2 linked regions of the Astyanax mexicanus genome follow. The protein of the gene in region 1 interacts with the protein of each later gene in a pairwise test. Links are inferred from orthologs where the notes say so. Each region holds a gene or a part of one and is shown in the gene's direction. Other genes may lie near its edges.

Region 1 (8,236 bases):
GTTTTTTATTACCACCAGAGGGCGCTGTCGAGTGAGCCCAAAACGAATAAATTCATATGGAGCAATTGAGCATTTTTGTGTTCAAAAATGGTTAATGTTATCATTTCATCAACATAGAACAATAGTCATTTTCTGATATAATGGTGGAGAAAAAAAAGTAGGCAGTCTCTCTATAAACCAGCTCTGATATTACAGCTTTATTATCGAGGTCTACTGTTTTTAACAGCGACACTAAAACCACAGAATACACACTAAATAATATATTCCCGTTGTTGACCACCAGATGGCGCTGTTGAGCCCAAAATGAATACGTTCTTAATGATCCATTGAGCAAAATCTAAGTTTATAAATGTTTTATGTTCTCATTTCATCAACACAGAACAAATATCACATATTTTAATACCGCAGATATAATGTTTTAGGTTTTAAACTCCAGTTATAAATATTTTAAACTCAGTGCTCTGACTTTAACTCCAGCATCAGCTCACCAATCCGTCAGCTCACAGTAGCAGTAATGCAGCGCCTTTACTGCCTAAAATTCGTTTACTGTAGAAAAACTGAAAAATAAATGGAGGTTTTCTTTGTACATAATTTTAATTTTCAACATCAAAGGATTTTCTGGCTAAGTGAACAGTTACTGTTTAATTTCACACTAAATAATCTATTACTGTTTTTTATTACCACCAGAGGGCGCTGTCGAGTGAGCCCAAAACGAATAAGTTCCTATGGAGCAATTGAGCATTTTTGTGTTCAAAAATGGTTAATGTTATCATTTCATCAACATAGAACAATAGTCATTTTCTGATATAATGGTGGAGAAAAAAAAGTAGGCAGTCTCTCTATAAACCAGCTCTGATATTACAGCTTTATTATCGAGGTCTACTGTTTTTAACAGCGACACTAAAACCACAGAATACACACTAAATAATCTATTCCCGTTTTTGACCACCAGATGGCGCTGTTGAGCCCAAAATGAATACGTTCTTAATGATCCATTGAGCAAAATCTAAGTTTATAAATGTTTTATGTTCTCATTTCATCAACACAGAACAAATATCACATATTTTAATACCGCAGATATAATGTTTTAGGTTTTAAACTCCAGTTATAAATATTTTAAACTCAGTGCTCTGACTGTAACTCCAGCATCAGCTCACCAATCCGTCAGCTCACAGTAGCAGTAATGCAGCGCCTTTACTGCCTAAAATTCGTTTACTGTAGAAAAACTGAAAAATAAATGGAGGTTTTCTTTGTACATAATTCTAATTTTCAACATTAAAGGATTTTCTGGCTAAGTGAACAGTTACTGTTTAATTTCACACTAAATAATCTATTCCTATTTTTTTACCACCAGAGGGCGCTGTCGAGTGAGCCCAAAACGAATAAATTCATATGGAGCAATTGAGCATTTTTGAGTTCAAAAATGGTTAATGTTATCATTTCATCAACATAGAACAATAGTCATTTTCTGATATAATGGTGGAGAAAAAAAGAAGGCAGTCTCTCCATAAACCAGCTCTGATATTACAGCTTTATTATCGAGGTCTACTGTTTTTAACAGCGACACCAAAACCACAGAATACACACTAAATAATCTATTCCCGTTTTTGACCACCAGAGGGCGCTGTCGAGTGAGCAAAAATATACTACGTTCATATGGATCCATTGAGCAAAATCTAAGTTTATAAATGTTTTACTTTCTCACAGTAGTAGTACTACAGCACTTTTTACTGTCTAAAATTCGTTTACTGTAGAAAAACTGAAACATAAATGGAGGTTTTCTTTGTACATAATTCTAATTTCCAACATTAAAATAATGTTCTGGCTAAATGGACAGTTACTATGTTTAATTTCACACTAAATAATCTAGTTCCGTTTTTTTACCACCAGAGGGCGCTCCCGAGTGAGCCCCACAATTTCACAATGGAGCAAAAAACTGAGCGAAATTCGGGTTTATAAATGTTTAGTGTTCTCATTCCATCAACACAGAAGAATATCACGTTTTTTATACCGCAGAAATATTTTAAAGCTTTTAAACTCCAGTTATAAATATTTTAAACACAGTGCTCTAACTGTAACTCCAGTATCAGCTCATCTTCCAGTCAGCTCACAGTAGCAGTAGTGCCTTTACTGCCTAAAATCTGTTTACTGTAGAAAAACTGAAAAATAAAGTGAGTTTTTCTTTGTACATAATTCTAATTTCCTACATTAAAGGAATTTCCTGGCTAGGTGAACAGTACTATTTTTATTTTGAGTTTCAGCTATTTAGCTCCATTCACCCCCATTCATTTTGGACTCATTCCCTCTAGAGGTTATCAGCAATTTCCTGATTTAACGGTGGAGATAGTACAGTGGGCAGTCTCTCCATAAACCAGCCCTCATATTACGACTTTATTATCAAGTCTACTATGTGTAACAGCGGCACTAAAACCACAGAACCTCTACACAGGAGAATGCACACAAAATAATTTATTGCCGGTTGGTTTTTTTAACCACCAAAGGGCGCTTCTGAATAAGCCCCACAATTAATAATTTTCTACGGATTAACTGATCAAAAAGTTTATAATATTTAATGTTCTCATTTCATCACCACAGAACAATAGTTCATGTTTTAATACCGCAGCTATATAGTTTTTTAAGTTTTCAAACTCCAGTTATAAACATTTCAAACCCAGGGCTTGAGTTCGATCCGTTTAATGTAGAAAAACTAAATAATATAGGGGGATTTTCTTTGTACATAATTATGATTTTTCAAAATCAAAGAAATTTCCAGGCCAAATGGACAGCTGCGATGTTTCATTTTTTTTTCTATTTTAACAGCGACACTAAAACCACAGAACTTCTACACAAACGATTGCCCACTTAATAATCTTTGCCGGGTTTGTTTTACCACCAGAGGGCGCTCCCAAGTGAGCCCAGATTTAATAGGTTCATATGGAGCAACTGAGCAAAATTGTTGTCAACAAATGCTTGATCATTTGTACACTGAAAATTTTACTTACATTTTTTTAACACAAGACAAATTAAAATGTTTTTGTACCTCAGACATATACATTTTTAAAGCTTTTAAACTCCAGCTATAAACCTTTTAAACTCTAATGCTTGCGTCTTTACTGCCTATAACCCGTTTGCTGTAGAAAAAATATATTGGTATGTTTTCTTTGCCTTTTCTTTGTCTTTTCAGTAACTTTAATCTACTTTATGAAATTAAATGAATATATTGGCCAAATGGTTAGTTACTATTTTTATTTGAGGTTTAATCTGTTTAGAGTCATTCACCACCATTCACTGAAGACTCACTCGATGGCTCCCTCTAGCGGTTAAAAGTCATTTTCTCATATATAGGGCATATATGAAGGTGGACAGTCTCTCCATAAAAACAGCTCTGATATGACTTTAATCTGTTTCTGAATGAATGCAGGAGGCTCCCAGCCATGTCTGATCTGAAGTTAGTAATCTAGCCTTCTGTTTCACTGTATGACAACACGGCTAAACACTCATTAGGTAGCAGGGAGCTGTCATTTCATCACTACAGATCCTACAGTGGCGATTCTAGGATCAGAGGTTTAACCTCGAGATATTCCAGAAGCAGAAGACCTTATCAGCAAAAATCCAACAAAGTGCAAAAACAACAAAGACAACCTAAACCTAAACGCAAATCATTTTCCAATAACTGCAAAGGATAAATATTATTTTACATTTGATTTTTAAACTTTTGTTTGCAGGTTTTATTAATTTGTGTCAAACCTTTGGCATAAAATTAACTCCATATATTTTCATTGTAAAAATAATATGTATACTTTTAAGGTTTGAACATTTAAAAAAAAAATTACTAAAAACAAACTCTAGTGTAACTACCAAAAAAAATGCCATAAAACAAAGGTCTGCTTAAAAAATTGCAAACGAACACTTAAAAGCTTCCAAAAATATTGTGATATTATGATATGGAGTATTTTCATTGTGTCAAATTTTTTTTTATTAAAGAAGCACCTAGTCAATATTTTTAAAACTGCAGTACACATATTTTGGACTTATTTTTAAGGATTTGTAAAATGAAAGCAAAATCCAAACACAAAAACTCTCCTGTTTTCACCAGAACTGTCTGTCTGGAGAATAAATTGTGTTCTAAAACCAGGTGTTTCTGTTTGATTGTCCAACCCCTGTATTTTCGTTATTAAAATAATATGTATAGTTTTCAAGGTTTGAAAATTTGTAAGACAAATTTACTCAAAACAAAAAGAAAACTACAAAAACACCCCAGTAAAGGGCTAGCGGCGCCTGTGATCACTACACTGACTTTAAGTTAGGTCTGGTAGTTGAGTGTGGGCAGCAAGTCAGCATGTGTTACGTTTCAGATACGAACGGTATGATCTACACTGCATGAGGACGAAGAACTTTACCGCGCAGATGATTTGAAGATCAGCACCTTAAGGACCGCCTGGCATCCTGTGTGCGCCTGTAGATACGAAGCGGGAGACAGAGAATCGTAAAACCCATTAATAATCAAATCAATTAGAAACAGAATGTTATCTATATAGTGTCATTCATAAACGATATCTATACATAACATACATAACTAAAATTACTTCTCTGTTATTATTACTCTTAATTCATATATATGTTTTTTGAACAGGCACTGGTGTTGCCTTTTGTACTGACGTCGGTTTAGGGCGTATCATATTTTAACATTTTTCGCGCCACCGCAGAGCAGCAGCAGACGGGAACGGGCTGAACAACATTTTACCTGGATTTGGAGTCCATATTCCTGATATATTAAATATTTAGGAATATAATAAGCCCGGTACTGTAGCATTGTTGTGATTGGTGTGTTGCTGGTGTGAGAGCTGGGGGGCGGACTGTGTGTTATTCTGTTTTTGAGTTCAGAAGAACAAATCGACAGATCTGTTCTTCAGAGCTACAGATTCATTTGACCCTGAAAAAATACTGAACATCAGACTCATCAGAATCTTCCATCAGATAAACACAGCGCTGCTTCAGTTCAGAGAGAAGGACTGGAGCTGCAGAGATGACTGGTAAGTAGATCTAGAAGCTGGTTGAATTTGGCTTTTAAACTTTCCACCTTAAATGGCGCGCCGGTTACATACAGTAGCTCATAGTTCGCTTCAGACAGCGGCGGGTTTTAACCCTTTTAGACCCTGCATACTTTACAATAGACATCATGTATTTTCTTTATTTTTAAACATTTTGTTGCACATAACACTATTTAAGAGCTGTTGTCCATCAGAACAGACCATGCAACAGCCAATTATAAACGAAACAGCAGCTTGGTCACATCCACTGCACTGGGAAAACAGTAGTACTAGAGCCATTAAGGCAAAGTAACTTTTTTTTTTTTTTTTTTTACAAATATAATGATAGTGATAAAATATAAATATAGTGATTTAGAACACTTTTTAATTTTACTGTTAATAAAATAAAAATGTCACTATAAAAAAATAAATTATTAAATATTCCAGGTAATAGCTATGATTTATTTGTTTACCATTATTTCCATCACTGGAGATAATTCATGTCTAAAAGGGTTAAGGTGGAGCTGGAAATTAGTTTTTTTTGTTGTTTTATAAACAGAGCTTGTTATTAGCAGATTTAGAGAATCTGTCTTACCTCGTCTCTGTTTGTGTGCCTGTTGTTCATATGGTTTATTATTAGGTAACAGTTATTGTTTGGTAAAAAGTCAGGCAAGTTAGATTAGCCATCGTTAGATAATTTAGCAAAACCAAGTTAGTTAACCTATAATGGTTATAATTATGTTTATATACATTATGTAAATAAGTGAGTATACTCCCACATTTAGCCCTGGTAACGATAATTACGTCATAGATTTACTGTACAATATACGGACATGAGCTCAATACATTTACGAGGCTTTGCTGATATCTTTACAGTCCATTGTTTTGTCAGCATATTTACAGTCTGCATATAAACTACAAACAAACAATTAAAAGTAAATAGTGTAAATCAATCAAATACAAAATAAACAGCTTCCATTAGGTATTTTACAAGGAAGATATATTGTCCCAGAAATTATTACGATAAACAATATTTTTGTAATTTTAAGACCATTAAATTCAAGTAATTATAATGATAATATAGTAGCATGACAAAGCAATTAAACCCTTACATAAACAACACAATGTTAATTAATCATAGATTGGGGGATATATGCTTAATTCTTCCCCTACTGCTGTCCACAACATGAGAATGGAGTGGACAATATCATGAATATCAAATATTATTGAGGGCATGTCAATTTATTGTATGATAAGACAATAATGTAGTTATTGTGAAAGGCCTAGCTTCCAAAAATATCGACATATCACAATATGGTTTCAGTGTGTCAAAAAACATTTATATGATACAATATAACACACCACTAGTTCACTGCTCTTTAGGAGGGTGTAATTGTAGTGTCATGCTTTAATATTAACATTATATCAGTGCTGTAAATTCTACACAAGCTTTGGGTTTGTGTTTAATATGGGATTTCAAGTATCCTAATTGTTAGATTTCAATAATAAATATAATTACTTATCTTTCTAAGTTTTATGAAGATGGACTTTATAATGCCAGTGCTTTCTGATTTACGATTAACAGCAGAGGATGAGAACCTGGACCTGCTGCTTTCCTTGTTTGAGGAGAGTCAGGGTCAGAAGATAGAGACTTCTGCTGCTGGAGAAGAGGACAATCTGGATAATCTGTTTGATGATGATGGTGATGAAGGAGAAGCCTATGCTGAGCCAGAAGAAGAAGAAGCAGAAGAGGTTGTGGAAGCTGCAAACTCAAGTGCAGAAGTGGAAAGTGAACTCAATAAATCCAAAGAGGACTTGGAGGGTAAGGTTAAATAGTTTTACGCTAATGTAACATTTTATTTAAATAAAAATTACTGAGAATCTTAAGTTGACATGTTCTATTGAAATTCCTGTTGTAAAACTTTAGCGGAGTTGAGGAGCATGCGTGAGAAGATGCAGAAGCTACAGCAGCAGCTGCAGGCATCTCAGAAAGGTGCAGATTATAAACCCAAACCTGCTGAAGATAAACCCTCCTCACAGAAACAGATAAGCAGCAGAACTTCACCAGCAGCAAAGCTTCCTGCCAAGCGCCTGACCTCTCCTCAGCAGTCTAGCAAACCTGCTCTACAAACACGTCTTCCCAGCCAATCCCCCCCATCTGCACCGAGAGGGGCTATAGGGTCTCCACCTCTAGAAACAGAGGGCAGGCAGATAACTGCACACCAAGCCAAAGCAGGTACATGTTTTTTCTTATGTATGTACAGAGAGCAATTAAACACAGTTAAGATGCGATCAGTAGAAAATAAGCGCTACAGCAGTCCAGTTTCAAAACACCAGATAGAGTTGTCTGCCCTGCCCACCCTTCCACAGACACAAAGCTCACTCGGGTTGCCAAGCTGAAAACACTGAACCTACACAAACAAGTGCAAGACGAATTCAACAACTTCAATCATGGCAAACGACATTATTAACCATCTTATGTGGATTTTATATAACTTTACATAATGAGTGTTGGGGAATGAGAAGCAGGCAGAGGCAGAAGCCAACACCCACACTGGTTTCTGTGATGTACTGCACAGTTCTAGTAATAAAATACTGGGTTTAGCTCTGCAGACAACAGATGGCAGTGCTTGAACTTTGATGATACACCCTAATTGTTTTATCATTTACTGCTGAAAATATAATCATTAATGTTACTTTAACTGTCAACTTTTAAATTACTTTTTGATAAAAAAAAAAGTAAGGTTTTGAATTAGTATGTTTCAGTTAAATGTTTATTTGTAAGTGTTTTTAGTTTTATCTTGTTTGAGCATTTCATATTATGGGTCGGTTTCCTGGACAGGGATTAAGCCATAGATTTAATATTCCTTTCAATCTTTAAAAATGCTGTATGGTTTAAGTCTAGGCTTATTTTCTGTTTGGGAATCTGTGTATTAGCATAATGTGAGACAGTTCTTGCATTGGGTGCTTCCTGTTTAATGATTGTTTATTTGAGTTCATTCAATGCTAATCTGACTCAGACTCAACTTCACTTTCTTCTTTTTGCCCTGCCCTCCTTCAGCCTCTGCAGAAAACCGGAGTGTGCAGAGTCAGAGTGTGGGTGACAGGTTGTCACAGCCGATGAGAAGTAGCGGTAAAATTAACAATACCATGACGTCACCGCCACCAAGTAAAATGGCTGGTGTAGCTCCTCCCATTGCAAGACA
Region 2 (8,414 bases), on another chromosome or scaffold:
GGTCGCACTTCAGTTTCTGAATCAGTTTCTCTGATTTTGCTATTTATAGGTTTATGTTTGAGTAAAATGAACATTGTTGTTTTATTCTATAAACTACAGACAACATTTCTCCCAAATTCCAAAATAAAGAGCATTTATTTTAGAGCATTTATTTGCAGAAAATAAGAAATAACTAAAAATTACAAAAAAGATGCAGAGCTTTCAGACCTCAAATAATCCAAAGAAAACAAGTTCACATTCAGTTCAGAAATCAATATTTGGTGGAATAACCCTGGTTTTTAATCACAGTTTTCATGCATCTCGGCATCATGTTCTCCTCCACCAGTCTTACACACTGCTTTTGGATAACTTTATGTTTCAAACTAAAATTTAAGCAGTTCAGTTTGGTGGTTTGATGACTTGTGATCATCCATCTTCCTCTTAATTATATTCCAGAGGTTTTTGGTATAATTTGGTAAAATCAAAGAAGCTCATTATTTTTAAGTGCTCTCTTATTTTTTCGGTTACTGTGTTTCTTTTACTCTTTTTAATACCATTGATTTCAGAAGACACAAGGAATGAGCAGTCTTGTTCCCAGTACTGCCATTGTCCAATGACAGTCCCTGTTTAGGAAGTTATCAGTGTTGATATAGAGTAGCTGTACTCACCCACACTGCTGAGGATGCCGCCTGGCCTTTACCTGCGGAATAAGAAAGAGCAGCACTGTCATTACCGGACAAGCACAAATTTGGATGATGTTTATTGATTATTAAGGCCTACAGGGTTTAGCGTTTTTCCTTTGATTGCAATATATTGAGTAAGACCACACAAGCTTATTTTAGACACCAAACATAACATATCAGCTGTACACTTGCTTTTCTGGACAAGCTGAGGGACACAGAAGCAGCATATGAAATATTTTACCAGAGCCTACAGAAGAAGGCCTACACAGTGCAGTTGTGTTGAAAGGGATGGTACTTTCATTCAATTTCATGGCGCTGTATTTAGTGCAGACCTAGTTTAGTGTCTTTCCTGCTGTATCACACCTGCGCCAGCTCATCAGGAGCCTGTTAATCAGCTGAGGAGTGAGTCAGAGCAGAGAACACACCAGGCCAGGCTGTGCTCTGAACCTGTGCTGGTCCTGATTAAGAAAAACAAGCTGCTGTTTCTTCCCCTATCACGTCTCTGAGGCCAGAAAAGTGAAACTAAGAGTGATGTGAATACTGGACACGCCCATTCAGGCCATGTTAGAGATGGTGTACACAGTGTGTGTGTGCTGCCTGTGGCTGTGTACTCAAAGGGTACACCTATTAACTCACTTAGCTCCATCTAATTACACCGTAAACACACAGCATTCCTGAAGAGCGGGCACTTTAAAGCCACAGCCAGAGAGTTTTAGATGTTTTCACTTGAGATGGGAACAGTAGGCCATTAGCTCAGACATTAGATCGGTTACAGCATCAGATTTATTCTTTTTCTAATCAGTTTGAATTCACTCAATTGTAAGTTTATAATATATACCCATCTATGCCCATCCCCAACCATCCATACTAATTCATATCCATATTCATAAACAATAAAATCCATCCATATCTGTCCATACACATCCATCCTAATCCATAACCTTCCTAACAATTCATACTCATCTGTATCCATCCATATCTATACCTTTTCTAACCTGTAATCCTGTAATTCTCTAATCCAGAATAAACCACACATAGAAATACCCATCCATACATACCATTAGCCATCAATCTGTATCTATACTTAAACATTCTTATACATTCCCATTCTAATCTGTATATACCCATAATACATGCCGATACTCATCCATGCATACCCTTAGCCATTAATCTGTATCCATCCTTATACATTCCCATACCCATTCTAATCTGTATATACCCATAATACATAGCCATACCCATCTATACATACCCATTTACACCCATCCATACATAGCTACTCATACCCATCTATTCATACACATACCCATCCATACATAGCTACTCATATCCATCCATACATATCTATTCATACTCATCCCTATCCATACATCACAGTGTTTACATTGTCAGATCATTAACACACTGCCCTCTCTCGCGCTCGCGACTGCAGGCCTGACTGAATGCACTGTGTTATATAACCAGCCATTCCTTCACGGGGCTCGAGATGCAGATGGTGATGATGCCTACTGGAGCTTCCATAGAGTGCTCACTGTGCTAAACGCACAAACAACAAATGCATGCATGCACGCATTCACACATGCATGCTTGCACGCATTCACACATGCATGCATGCACGCACGTGCTGGTGCATGCACCCTGCAGAGGATGCACAGATTTTTCTGCAGCTGGTTATTGCAGTTATGTGATTATGGGATGCAGGAGATCAGTGTTTACCTGCGGGCTGAAGCCGCACTGTGCCGTTCTGGTGTATCCACACGTCCTCCGGACCCTCGATGACCCCCCGGGGGTGCAGCCCCGCGCGCCTGGGTCCCGGGCCGCCCCGCTCCGCCAGGGTCCGGCAGCACTGGTAGCACACGGCCCAGGCCTGCTCCTCATTTATGGGCTGGTTATAGAGGGTCAGTATCTCCTGCAGAGTCAGCTCCTCTCCTTCATCTTCATCCTCCTCCTCCTCCTCCTCCTCCTCGCGCACCCTGGCCTCCATCAGCTCGCGCGCAGACATCCTCTCATCCTCTCCTCATCCTCTGCTCATCCTCCGCTCGCGCTGTCCGCGTGGGTATCAGTATCTGTGGTCATTCAGAGCCCAATACTGCCCAATACTGCCCACCCGCCCCGAAAGCGCAGCTCAGCACAACACACCAATCACATGACCGCGCAGCGCAGAGAGGGGCGGGGCCTCAGCACTGAACACACAATATATATATATATATATATATATATATATATATACACGTATATATATATATATATATACGTGTATATATATATATATATATATGTATATATATATATATATATATATATATATATATATACGTATATATATATATATATATATATATATATACGTATATATATATATATATATATATATATATATATATATATATATATAACGAAAACATATTAAAAAGGTGAATATTAAAAATATTGAATATATTCTTATCACTTCATACGTATCTCTGTCAGTTATGTACTTATACTTACTTATAAAAATAGCCCCAAATATTTTTTTATTAATTAATTAATTTTATTTACTTATTTATTTTTGATGATAAGTAATGTACTATCTTGGTCACTTACTGATAGACAAAGGATATAATGTATTCCTCACTTTTGTGTTTTAGTATATTTTTTTGTTACTTTGCATTATTTTAATTTAATTTATAACATATGTATTATTATTATTTTATACAAAATATTATATGCACGTTATTATCTTGGTCAGCTCCTGCTGTTTACGAAGGCTTACAGATTTTCTGTTTGTACTAAATTTAATCTAATTATAATATATATATATATATATATATATATATATATATATATATATATATATTTTTTTTTTTTTTTTTTTACTGTAAAGCTTTAGGGATATTTTTGTATAATTTTTGATATATATTTTGTGCAAATAGTTTTATACAATAAGTTACTTGGTGAATCTTGGTAAGATTGCTTGTTTTTGTCTAATAAATATTTAAAATTGTTATGCTAAATAAAACATTTAACATTTATTTTGTTAGCATATTCTTCAAAATAAACAAATATATTGTCACTTGCCTGAAGTACTATAGTAACCACAGAGTAACACCACAGTAACCACACTTTAACAACTTTCTAACTCTATGACAACCACCCAAAATACCTAAGCGTACATGCCAGCCACCCAGGTGTCCTAGGTGGTTACCATGCAGTTGCTTGGTTATTGCTATTCTTCCTATGCTTGGAGGTGCTATGCTGTTGTTAAGCAGTTGGTATGGTATCAAATGTGGTTTCTTTGAACTTGCTTGCTGGTGTCATCCTGTTTCATCCCGATATTAAGCCAGTACTTACTTGTCCCAGGTGGTTGCTAGGTGGTTGCTAGGTAGAGTATGCTGTAGCTCAGCAGTTGCTATGGCATCCCGGGTGGTCGAGATGCTGTTGCTGCTAGGTAGTTGCTATAGTTTCCGAAGTGCTTGCTTGTTAGGGTGGTTGTGCGATATTGAAAGTGCTTTCTATGTGGTTGTTGTGGTGTTTCAGGTGGTTGCTAGTGTGTTGCTATGGTGTTGTCCCACATTGTTTTAAGGTACTACCATCACAAAAACACAAGAGGGCGATCAGTCATTGTTATGGGGAGATAATCAGTGTTAAAATATAGCCATCTCTATCTACACGGCTCTGATTAGCTGGATGTGTCCTAAATCGCACCCACGCTGCCTACTTAGGCGGTATTCGGAGGCAGGAAGGTTCAATATGTTATCCTACCCGTCTTAAATGGAAATAAAGCTTCAGAACTTAAAACTCTAATATGTAAAAGAGCGCAAGTGATCCTGTGGAAGCGTCAGTTTGGGTTTCGGAGCCCTTAATCCAGAGGCTGCTCCCTTTTTCTGAGCTCCCTTCAGTTTGGGACACCGCCGTTTACAGAGCTAGGGCGCAGCTGAGTGAGGCGCATGCGCAGAGCGCGTCTCCTCCGGCCGTTTGAAACCATGGCGGCAGATAGCGTATCAGTAACAGAGCAGTGGATCCGGGAAAAGCTCAGCCTGCAGCACCGCTGTCTGGGTAAACTTCACTTTATATATCTGTACAGACTCTACACACCTTTATTAACCGTATCACTATCTTATACGTATGTTATAAACGCTTTAAAGCGTTTAAATCGCACAGTGTTTTCAAGCTAGCACCGTTGTCGCGCAGGTAAACAGTAATTTGTAACGTTAGCTAGTTAATTTAGCTAATCTAGTTACCTTAGTTTAAAGCAGCAGTCCTTAAAGTTTTGTCTTTTAAATTGATAATAATAGTGTTTCTGAGTTTGGAAAAGGGAAAATATCCTGATAAATAGCGTCAGTGTGCTTCTGCTACTATTCCTGCCAAGCCACATACAGTATATTCATTCTAAAAACACAGTTAGTGGTCTGGTAATTAGGTCTCAACAGGAGCTTTTTCTGACTATGAAACCTTAAGCTGTTGCTGGTTACCCGATTAACTATGGTGCTGCTAATAGTGCTGATACTAGAGCTACTGCGAACATGGAGATATCAGACCAGCAAACTCACCAGCCTTTATTTGCACATTCACTCATTGTAAGCCAAATAAATGCAGAATTAGAACTAAAGAGAACAAGGGCTGTCGCGATAATTACGCTGTTGACTAGGGGTGGGCGATATGGCCCCAAAAGTAATATCACGATATTTCACGGTCTTATCACAATAACGATACTCTTGCCGATATGACAAAAACATAAAAATAAAAAATACACTACTGCAACAAAACAAAACTTACATTTTATTATTGTATACGTTATGATACAGCACACCCCTAACTGACATATAAAATAAAATACAATAATTTTATCAGATTTGTAACAGAAGTCAATGATCCAGAATGTCATGATACTAATAATAATGCACTCCAAATATCTCCATATATCCAGGATTAAAGTAAAATAAATGATACTGGACAGATATAATCTGTCTCTAGTAGATATTTAATTGTAAATGAGAAATGTGTGACTTTTTTTTTCGCTTAATCAGCAAAAAAGTAGGATAAAAAAGTGATAATTAGGGGTGAGTGTTATGGCACGATATTTCAGGGTATAATATCGTTCACGATATTCAAAAATGTTGGCGATATTATCGCGTACGATATGATATGGCACACCCCTACCGTTGACGTATCGTAACATGATGTTGATCAATATTTTGTTTATGTTTATGATAGTTTGTTTATGTTATTCAAGCTAGGGCTGGACAGTTATATATATATATATAAAAAAAAGAATTCTTCAAATATATGAACAAGTCTAAATTTTGATTTTGATTTTACAGTGGTATAAAAAAAAAGTTTGGTCACCCCTGATAATTTTCATTATTTTCCTTTATACACCATTGATTGCTCGGATTAGCAATTTTAGTTAAATATATCATATATCAGACAAAGTAAGATATAGCGAAGAAGTAAAAAAAATTAAGTTTATAGGATCTACAGAAAGTGTGCAATAATTATTTAAACAAAATTAGGCAGGTGCGTAAATTTCAGCAACCCAGCAGAAAAATCAAATCAATATTTAGTAGAGATCCTCCTTTTGCAGAAATCTAAACAGCATTTAAACTCTTCCTATAGCTTCCATTGAAAGTCTGGCCTCTTGTTGAAGGTATTTTGGATCATTCTTCTTTACAAAACATCATCTGTTCAGTCAGGTTTGATTCAGGTTTATGATCATGAACAGCTGCTTTAAATCACACCACAGATTATATTTCAATAATATTCAGATCTGGGGTCTGAGATGATCATTCCAGAACGTTGTAATTTTTGTTGCTCTGCATGAATGCTTTAGTGCTTTAGTAGATTTTGAGTAGTGTTTAGTGTTTAGGGTCGTTGTCTTGTTAAAGTATCCAGCCCCGGCGCTTCAAACTTCAACTTTCTCACTGATTCTTGTTCTCAAGACTCTGCTGATATTGACTGAAATCCATGCGACCCTCAACTTTAACAAGATTCCCGGTACCTGCACTGGTCCCACAGCCCCAAAGCATGATGGAACTGGCACTAATTTTACTGTGGGGAGCAGTAAAGTGATTGTGTTGGAATACTGTGTACTTTTTCCTCTGTGCATATAAATAACCACCCTCCAAATAACCCTGAAATTTTAGTTTCATCAGTCCACAGAACCTTATTCCAAATGTGCTTTAGCTTTAGCATACCTGAAGCGACTCTGTTTGTGGCGTGTGCTCAGAAAAGGCTTCTTCTACATTAATTTTCTCCCATACAGCCTCTCCTTGTTTAAACGATGCACAGTGACTCCATCTGCAGTAAGATGATGATGATGTCTTTGGAGCTCTGGAGGTCTGTTTGTTGACTATGACTGTTCTCACCATCCTTCTCCTCTGATTATCTGAGATCTTTCTTGTTCTGCAGCTTCAGTTCTTAACTAGACCTGTGCCTGTGGTTCTTCCATTTCCTCACTATGTTCCTCACAATGGAAAATGTAGCTGACAGTACGGACTGTGACTTTCGCGACCTAAAGCATAGTCAGGCTCTTGATTGATTGATTATCTATAGTTAATTTATCAGTTTCTGTTTGAACCCACAGCGGATGTCCGATCACTGAGCCTCCCTGGATCTGGATATGAAACGGGGAAGATCTGTCATCTGGGAATCTCTCTGAAGAATTTTGTCCGTCTGAAAAGTCTGGATCTCTCTTACAATGTACTGGATTCAGTTCAGGTAAGATACACACTAGGGGTGGGTGATATGGCCCTAAAATAATATCACAATATTTCATGTTTTTTTTTTCGTGATAACGATACGACAATATGATATGACATAACATGATATGACAATAACGATATGACAAAACACTGAGTTAAATAAAAAATATTTCCAGAATACACTACTGCAACAAAATGAATATTAAATGTTATTATTGCATATGATATGATATGGCAAACCCCTAATAATGAGATATTAAAAAAATACAAGGATTGTATCAGAATTGTAACAGAAGTCAGAATCCAGATGATACTACTGATATAATCTGTCTCTAGTAGATATATCATGGGAAATGAGTGTGATTTTTTGATGACACATCACAATATACAGTTTGATCAATCAATTAATCAATCAATCTATCAATAATACCACCCCACCCCTTGATGACATCCAACCATCTATATCTCACCACTGCTATCAGAGGCACACTACTCAGTCCAATCAGCTCTCCCTCCTGGCCCGCCCCTAAACCCATACATCACCCAGTGCCCCTCCCAAGCTAGTCTAGACTTTTTTAAATTTGAGCTCTACCTCTTTACAACTTTACAACTGATGCTCTTAAACATATTATGAGACAAGAAATTCAAGTAATTAACTCTTGATGAGTTCAGCACAGCTGTTAACTGAAAACCTGAATTCCAGGAGACTCTACCACATAAAACTGACTGAGAAAATCCAGCAGAGATGTGCTAAACTGTCTAATCTAAGCAAGAGATGCTACTTTGAGGAATCTAAAATATAAAACATATTCTGGTTTAACACTTTTTTTAATTTATTTTTTAAATAATTACCTTTTTTTATTCGTAGATCATAGCAATCAAGTTTAAACAGGTTTGTTGCACATAGTAAGAAATAGTAGGAAGTGCTGAACTATTTTATATTTTATGGTAAAACACAATCTAATCTTTATCTCACATTTGATTTAATTGCATGTTTCCCTCTGTTATTTTGTTTAAATCCTGCAGGGAATTGTACATTTGAAGCTGCTGGAGAAGCTGAACCTGTACTATA

Evidence for each region. The genes of interacting proteins can lie anywhere in the genome.
Region 2: the proteins of mcm10 (region 1) and cep72 interact in a two-hybrid assay, tested with the Homo sapiens proteins (2 studies listed by BioGRID and IntAct). The two-hybrid records come from large-scale screens. The link is inferred for Astyanax mexicanus from reciprocal best matches to the Homo sapiens genes MCM10 and CEP72.

What each region holds. Positions count from the first base shown.
Region 1 is NC_064409.1:12,340,066-12,348,301, forward strand, and holds the start of mcm10 (protein MCM10 homolog), read left to right. Parts: upstream 1-4,677; 5' UTR 4,678-5,026; coding exon 5,027-5,033; intron 5,034-6,615; coding exon 6,616-6,852; intron 6,853-6,957; coding exon 6,958-7,266; intron 7,267-8,091; coding exon 8,092-8,236. UniProt on the Homo sapiens protein: Acts as a replication initiation factor that brings together the MCM2-7 helicase and the DNA polymerase alpha/primase complex in order to initiate DNA replication. Additionally, plays a role in preventing DNA damage during replication.
Region 2 is NC_064408.1:122,668,707-122,677,120, forward strand, and holds the start of cep72 (centrosomal protein of 72 kDa), read left to right. Parts: upstream 1-4,581; 5' UTR 4,582-4,588; coding exon 4,589-4,697; intron 4,698-7,224; coding exon 7,225-7,358; intron 7,359-8,368; coding exon 8,369-8,414. Other genes in the region: spire1b (protein spire homolog 1), read right to left, coding at 648-679, 2,379-2,664. UniProt on the Homo sapiens protein: Involved in the recruitment of key centrosomal proteins to the centrosome.